2 linked regions of the Oryzias latipes genome follow. The protein of the gene in region 2 purifies or fractionates together with the protein of the main gene of each other region. This does not show direct contact. Links are inferred from orthologs where the notes say so. Each region holds a gene or a part of one and is shown on either strand. Other genes may lie near its edges.

Region 1 (3,401 bases), on a different chromosome or scaffold from region 2:
ATTTTCAGACTTGTGAAAACAAATCTACTACAGGATCTCTCTGGAAATAAATAAAAACAATCAAGATTAAATAAAAATTTTCAGATATTTAAAAAAAGAACTGCAAATATGTACTTTTCAAAAGAAAAATAGGCAGCCTTCTTGAGACAATTTACGATAAAAAAAGAAAGCAATTCTATTCCAGTTTGATTTTAAATTCCCACTCCAATCCGCTTTTGTCAGGGTGTTCCTAGCGGTCTTTTCAACTATGACTATGCCGTTTTTAGGCTAAATAGAAAAATCAAATGCTGTTTTCTAGAGAAGAATTTGTGCAGAGCAGCAGTTCATCAGTAGGTGGAACTATTGCTGCAGAGTATGTCCACCCCCACTTTCCGTCATCCATGTTTACACGCTCTCCCACTAGATTACAGCGCCTCACATTTCTCTACATCTTTGTGTGCAAGTGGAGGCGGAGCAGGGAGACTTTGGTCTGCCCAGTTCAGTTTCTACGTTACAACTGAGGGATTTATCAAACAGCATTTTCTGTCTGCTCCTGATTCACAAGGATCTGAATAAAGAAATACTCAATAATGCAGTTTTAATCTAAAATTTCTTTATTTATGTCCTCCATCATGAGAAAAATGCAACAGAATTTCTTTTAATCTTAAAATTAGCTTTTCATTGGAAATAAGTTTTTTTTGAAAACCATATGACATTTATTGGAGGTAAAAAAAAACTGAAACGGCAGACTTTTGTATTTAAATTGTAGAATATATTTGCTTTTCTGTCAACAGTACAGTCAAAAAGCTATGGGGAGCAGGAATCGGTCCTCAGAGTTCAGCTCTGCAGCAGCAGGATGTAGAGAATTTCTTCAGCGCTTCCCAGGTTTCCCTCTCCTCTTCCCTCCTCCAGCTTTGCCTCCTTTTCCTTTGCCCCCCTTCCCCTTGGGCCTCCGGGTGGCTCCCCCTTTGCCTCCCTTCTTCCTGGACGCAGCCTCCTCCCTGTCCTCCTCTCTCATCTGTTTGTTGACGGCTTTGGTGATGTCCAGCTTGGGCCTCTTGCTGTCCATGACCTTCAGGAGCTCCAGCTGCTTGTGCTTCTCGCTGGAGAAGTCCCCGATGAGGGGCTCAAACTTCCTCCTCTTGCCTGCGTTCTTGGGGGGCTTCTCCTTTGGGAGGCGATCCTGGAACCTGCCCACGGATGCCGTGGAGGTTTTGGCCACGCTCACAGCTTTGCTCAGCTCGTCTTTGGATTGCTTGGCTCGGGGTAGCAGCCCCACACCGGGGTTTTTTATTTTCTGAGATCTGGCGACGTTCTTCAGTCTGTTGAACTCGTTCTTTGCCACCCTCTCCTTCTTGGCATGGGCGCGTTTGGCGAACTGGTCCTCGTTCGGGTCGGAGGTCTGCGGAACCTCGATCAGCCAGTCTTTGGTGTCGTCGTTGGCCCTCTTGTAGCCCCAGCGCCTCCTCCACTCCTTGGCCGTTTCATCCCACACCAGGTTCGTCTTCTTCTTCTTCTGGATGCCTTTCAGTTTGGCGAACTGCTCCCATTTCGTCGGGGGTTTGGGCTTCGGAGGAGGTTTCTCTCTGGGCAACCGGGTCGTCGGCTCCGGTAGTTTGGCTACGATCGCCTCCTCGACCCTCTCGGTCGGCACCTTCCAGATTTCGTTGATAAGAAGCTGCGTGTTGTCGCGGGCCAGCGACCGGAGAAAGTCTTCCTTATTCTGCTCTTTGAAGTCCCTGGACTCGATGCGGTTTTTGTCACAAGCTAGCAGGTTTCCCACGTCAAAGTCCAAATCCAGCTCCTTCTGGACGGAGATGGTCTTCAGTTTTTCAGCCTCCTCCTGTTCGGCTTTCGCTAACAGCTCCTCCACGCTGCACGCAGCCATGATTTCGACCACTACACACGTGGGGCAACAACAGGAGTCTTCTTCCGGGTCACGGTGTAGTTCATTGTCTCACCGCACGAGGCAGTGTTGCCTAATTCCCACCGGTAACCATCAGGGGGAAGTGTTGTTTTATTTTCTTGTATAATACAGAATTTGGCTGCCAGAGGGCAATGTTGTTCCACTAATTTGACATTTAAATTTGAATAAAAAACAAACAAATTAATGCAATGTATACAACTTGTTATAATAACACACACATAAAATACACTATATTAATAAAAAAAATCTAAATTCATGCCACATTCATGCAACATTTTTAAGCTCTTTTCTCTTTTTCACACCAATGAACACTAGGGTCAAGTTTAAGTTCAGTCTGTAGCCTTAGGGCGCTTCAACAGGTGGACTACAGACATCAAACCACAGATGATGACAGTCACAGAAGCTCCAGATGGGTGTATATACATTATTTAAAAAGATATATATTTAGCTAAACTAGACAGAAAAAAACATGTAAACGCATTTTTTTTGGGGTAAAAAGTCAGTTACAGTTCATCGGTGACAGTTCAACAAAATTTCAACTCTATGTGTCAAAATACAGTCAAGCTAAGAAATATGCAAAATTTTTCAAAATAAAACCATGTTTGCAATACTTGTTTTTGAATTTTATGGACATTCAGTTGTGATATTTATTTAAATACACATTTAAAGTGAGTTGGCATCGATAATTTTGGTTTCCTTCAGTTGTGTCACCTGGCAGAGCTTAAAATATTAATCTTTTAAAAAATATAAGCCTAATTTATCCCTCAATATTTTTTGTAGGTTACAAAACACTATAACTGCTGTCATTCAGGTGTTTTGGGGAACAGGAACTGCCTCGTATCTGATGCTTGCTTCATAAGAAACGGTCAATGTTCTTCCTTTTTTGTCAAATATTTTGTGAACTCAAACAGTGAAAAATTACAATAAAACCCCCCAAAATAGCATTCAAAAGTCTGAACATGGCCTAAGAATAATATAATGTCATGCTTCCAAAGTTCTAAAATCCAAACGCATGTTAATAAAGACATGGCAATCTCCAAAATGCACCCATCAACAGGGAACTCAAATGGCTAAATGACCAAGGCAGGACAGGAGCATCCATGCATGGAATATAAATACAATATATAATGTTAGCCAAATGGCTACAATACACACCTGACTAAGGGAATACTTGTTCTCAGAAAAAAGGTAAAACTTCTATGACTTTTCTTGCCAATATTAATATCAAAAAATAATTTTACACATCTAGCCATCCATTCTTTTTCTTGCTTTAACCCTTTCTGGGTCATGGGGATGCCGTAGCCTAACCCTGCCACTGTTGAACGAAGGTGGGACACACCCAGGACAGGTCGCCAGTCTGTCGCAGGACACTTTTGCAAACACCTTCTTACAATAACTGTCATGATAAATGGTGCTCATCATATGATGCTTCACTACCTTAATTGAAGTGTAAAGCGCTTTATAGTCGCATACACACTCACATTCCCACACTGGT
Region 2 (4,504 bases):
AGCCATTCCTCTGGTATGTATGCCCACAAGCAGTACAGAACTTTGGGAAAAGAAACAGAACAAACATATTTTATTAAGAGAATTCTTTGATACTCTTTTAGGATAGACTTTTTTTTCAAATTGTTCACGAACTATTTTTACTTCTGTTCTGTTACATTATCTTACATTTATGTATAAACATATGTCCTTTCATTTCAATTTATTTTTAAATCTGATGCTTTTTCATACAGAAAGACCATCCAACCAATAAAAAAGACAACCTTTGAGGAAAGTGTAAATATTCATTTATAAGCAACAGAGTTATGTGATATTCCAAATTGAAATCTTTTTAGAATTATTGGGATTATTAGAAGAATTTTCTTTTAAATGAGAAAAAGACAATCCAATTTAAAAGTTAAACAAGACTTCTTCATTTGGCTTAATACAATTTTGCCGACTTATTAAATTGTGTAGTTTTAAGCCTAAATATGAACATAACAGGCCTATTAAAAAAATCCTACTTTTTACCCAAAACAACAACAACACACAACTAGCGTTTTAAAGTAATTTACAATATTTAAGTCACTACCATCCTGCCATCTTTCAGCTGAATTTTTAAAAATATATATAAACACAATAACCTTTTACTAATGTATACCTTGAGATATAAATAACTTAAAAAAAACTAATTATTGAAAGAATTCTATTGAGAAAAAAATCCAAAAAGGCTTGTTTTTTTTAAGTGAAGTCACATTGAATTAATGGCAGTCTGTTTTTCAGGTGGTCAACTATTTATCACCCTAGTAGTAAGGAGATTTAAATCTCCACCGAGAAACGGTTATTCTATTTTAACTCAAGTGAGTCGTCCTGCACATTTACAAATTTCAATGAGATTAGATTTATGGCAACATAAACAAAAGGAACAGAATGTCTTTGCTATATTACCAAGAGCCGTAGAGATAAGTAATTCCACAACATTTTACGTTGAATGACATCTTCTGCAAATAGAACTATGCTTCTAATTTGAAAGAACATGATGTGATGGGACTTAACTTACAGAAGCCAAACTGGGAGCCAAGGAAGAGAACAAACCCATAGATTGCTCTCTCTGGCATAGGTGATGGGGAGTTTTCAACCATGATCTGAAACCAGAACACAAACAGACCATCTATTGGGTAAAATAATCGAAAATAAACAATGACAAAAAGTCACTAAACTTACCGACAGATAATAAGTGTATTTTGGTTCGTAAGAAGAGCAGCAAGTTTACAAAAACCCCTAAAAACAGTTTAAATGTTTCTCAAATAGCTTGTTTATATCGTACCATCAGCTAGGTTCAACGATAGATAAAATCCAATTCTACTATTTCAAACGAAACATAAATAAAAATGTAAAAAGTGCATCTAATCATATTACGCCAAAACCTAGCTGACTGCTGTCAACAAAACGTTAGTCCATCACCTAAATGAGTTCGGTCAGAAACTGTACATCAGGAACAAAAGACTTTAAAGAAATAAAGCAAAATTACATATCAATCTTGTGTTCTTTGTTAGTAATGTATAGATATTAAAAACTATTTTCAAGCTTGAAAAAAGAAAGAAATAAAAAAATCAACGAAGGGAGAACTTTCTGCCGCTCGAACGAATCATGTTACTTTTTTCCTGACGAACATATTTGACTGTTACTCATTCCAGAAGCACCGCAGCATGGCTTCGTGAATGTGAAGGTAAACAACTTGAAACATAATTTTTCCCTGTTTGGGAGGATAATAAAGTGGCTATTTTTGCTAATAGAAACAGTGTGTGCCCTTTATCTGGGATACATATGTATGTGACACAGCGTTAACTGTTTTCGTTTACATCTCACCTAAAATTGGCTTCTTTCAAAAACGTGGCTGTGTAACACAGCAAATACTCCCTGAAGTTTAAAGAAGTGCGACCACGATGTCTAAAATCAAAGGAAAGGAAACTCCTGCTGGAAAAACGCAACAGCTGACGTCCAAAGAAAAAAGGAAGAAGTTTTTTATAAAGCATAATCGTAAAAAACAAACTTCCCAAAAGACTCTAAACAAGAAAAATCTAGAAAATCCTGGAGCAAAGCAAACTGCACCACCACAGGATCCCCAACAGTTTTCTTCCAACTGGAAAGCATTACAAGAGGTTTGTCTGACGAATATTAAACTCTATGCTCTTCATAAGCTGTGCAACTACTTATGTGAAAATGTATTTACTTTTAAAATGTAATTATCTTCTTTGTTTCCTGAACATGGCAGATCTTAAAGAGCAGTCAGCCAGAGAAGAAGCAGCCTGTTACACCAAAACATCGGAATGGTGTCTTCCCTAAGAAGTTTAAAGGAAATGAGCCTAAAAAGTTTCAAAATAAGAGCCCTGCTCCCAGCCAGGTGCACACAGACAGAGAGGGAAAAGTCAAAAGTGGCGATGCCCCAAAGGAGGATGGGGTGAAGGCAAAGATCCACGCCGCCTTAGACAAACTGCAACCTGGTGGTGCAAGGAAAAGGCAAAACGAAAAGACAGACAATGAGAAACCAGCCAAGAAAAAGAAGCCCGTCACTGAAGAGAGGAAACCCACAGAGTATGTATCCTTATTGCTAATACTTGACTTCAGTTCGGGTTTGCCTTGTAATCTTTGCTTGTGCTGCTGTAGGGAGGACCTTTGGTTTGATGACGTCGACCCTGACGATATTGAGGAAACGATGGGAGCCGAGGCTGCAGAGATCATGAGGAGGAAACAAGGCATGAAAACAAGCAAGAACGTAGATAGCGTTCTGGTAAAAGAGAACGCCTTTGATGGGTAAGAGAAACTGTTTTGTGTTCTTACGGTCAAAATGCCACACCTTCATTTGCTATCGATCAACTCTAGTTGAAATTCACCTTTCTTTATAGAGCTCTTTTCCTGTTAAAAAACACCTCAAAGTCTTTTACATAAATAAATAATAATTATATTAGTATTTATAATAAACACATGTTGTGTACAAAAACTAGCAGGAAAAAATAATCCATAAAATCAAATTAAAACATGAGGAAATGTAAAATCGACATAAAAGCTAAACTAAAAAGGTGAGTTTAGGCCAAAGTTCTGCCATGTGGCCTCGCTGTGGGTTTTTGTTTATGACCTCAGGGAGCACCAGCATAACTGGATCTGAGGGCTCTGGGAGGGTCGTCTGCTAACACCAGCTTGATTAAAATTAAAGTGCAATTTCATTAAACTAAGAAAAGTACCTTAAAATCGATCCTAAAGCTGACAGAGAACCAGATATTTCAAATTTGGAGTCCTTCTTTTTGTCCTGATATTTTTTGATAATTTTTGCTCAACAATCATTATTATAGTATATTGTTTTAATCTCATCTGCTGCTCTTCTTCATCATTGTTTTCTTGGTCGGATGTGTAAAAGTGTTGAAAAAGTCCATTCCTAGCAACTCTTTAATCTAGTGGGATACTTCCCGTGTGTGTTGCTCTCTTTGGGCATAAGTATGAGTCTTAAAATCGTCGGATTGTTTCGCAATTGCTTCCTGATGAATATGCAGCCATAGCTGTTGCAGAGTTTATGCTCATCTCAACCTGCAGCAGACTGGCTCCAACAGACTCCCTAAGTGGAAGTAGTTGGAAAAACAGCCGTTGCCTTTTTAAACAAGTTTTTGAAAAAATCGGTATAGTTGTCAGTTATACCCCAATAACATCAGATGTTCTCTTACTTCTCTCAAAAGAGAAAATGATTTAATAATGTTTCAGGTGATTTCTGTGGAGAAACTTTAAAACGGGCAGCAGAAAGACTGGACTGTTTCATTAGATGACCTTTTGTTTTCTCCACGTTTGTACGTATGAATATCAGCATCACCAAAGCTGTAGCTATTGATTGTGAGATGGTGGGAGTCGGTCCAGATGGGGAGGACAGCATCCTGGCACGTGTGTCCATCGTGAACCAGTTTGGAAAATGCATCTATGACAAATATGTCAAACCCACAGAGAAGGTGACAGACTACAGAACAGCTGTCAGTGGGATCCGACCGGAACACATTAAAAATGGTAAGAAAACGAGACATCACTGTATACTTAGATGTTTATTGCTTTCAAACAATCCTCTGTGCTTTTGAACAGTGTCAAAATGTGATTTTTTTTTTTTTACAGGGGAGGATGTGCATGTTGTGCAAAAGGAGGTGGCTGAAATTCTGCAAGGAAGAATTGTGGTTGGTCATGCAATTCACAATGACTTAAAGGTATTGTGTTGCCTTAAAATAAATGTGTGCTCCAATAAAACAGCTGTAGCTCTCCTCTTACAGAGTCTGTCAACTGTTTCAGATTCTTCTCTTGGATCATCCAAAGAAGCACATTCGGGACACTCAGAAGTATAAACCCTTTCGGAAGACTGTAGGGGTAATTATAGAAAGTTCTTTTGTTTTTACTGAGACTTACTGGTAGATCGTCTGTGGAAGGTTCCAGACCTCATCTTAATAAGAACAAGTTTATAAATGATTTTATATTTTAGAGCGGCCGACCTTCGTTGAAA

What was found.
Region 1: the proteins of rexo4 (region 2) and rrs1 purify together in Homo sapiens (co-immunoprecipitation; 3 studies listed by BioGRID and IntAct, with this or other methods). This does not show direct contact. The link is inferred for Oryzias latipes from reciprocal best matches to the Homo sapiens genes REXO4 and RRS1.

What each region holds. Positions count from the first base shown.
Region 1 is NC_019878.2:17,066,099-17,069,499, forward strand, and holds rrs1 (ribosome biogenesis regulatory protein homolog), read right to left. Parts: upstream 1,938-3,401; 5' UTR 1,868-1,937; coding exon 851-1,867; 3' UTR 730-850; downstream 1-729. UniProt on the Homo sapiens protein: Involved in ribosomal large subunit assembly. May regulate the localization of the 5S RNP/5S ribonucleoprotein particle to the nucleolus.
Region 2 is NC_019877.2:8,248,990-8,253,493, forward strand, and holds the start of rexo4 (RNA exonuclease 4), read left to right. Parts: upstream 1-1,650; 5' UTR 1,651-1,922; coding exon 1,923-2,138; intron 2,139-2,251; coding exon 2,252-2,571; intron 2,572-2,643; coding exon 2,644-2,790; intron 2,791-3,829; coding exon 3,830-4,023; intron 4,024-4,125; coding exon 4,126-4,214; intron 4,215-4,296; coding exon 4,297-4,371; intron 4,372-4,483; coding exon 4,484-4,504. Other genes in the region: pigp (phosphatidylinositol N-acetylglucosaminyltransferase subunit P), read right to left, coding at 1-40, 1,037-1,118.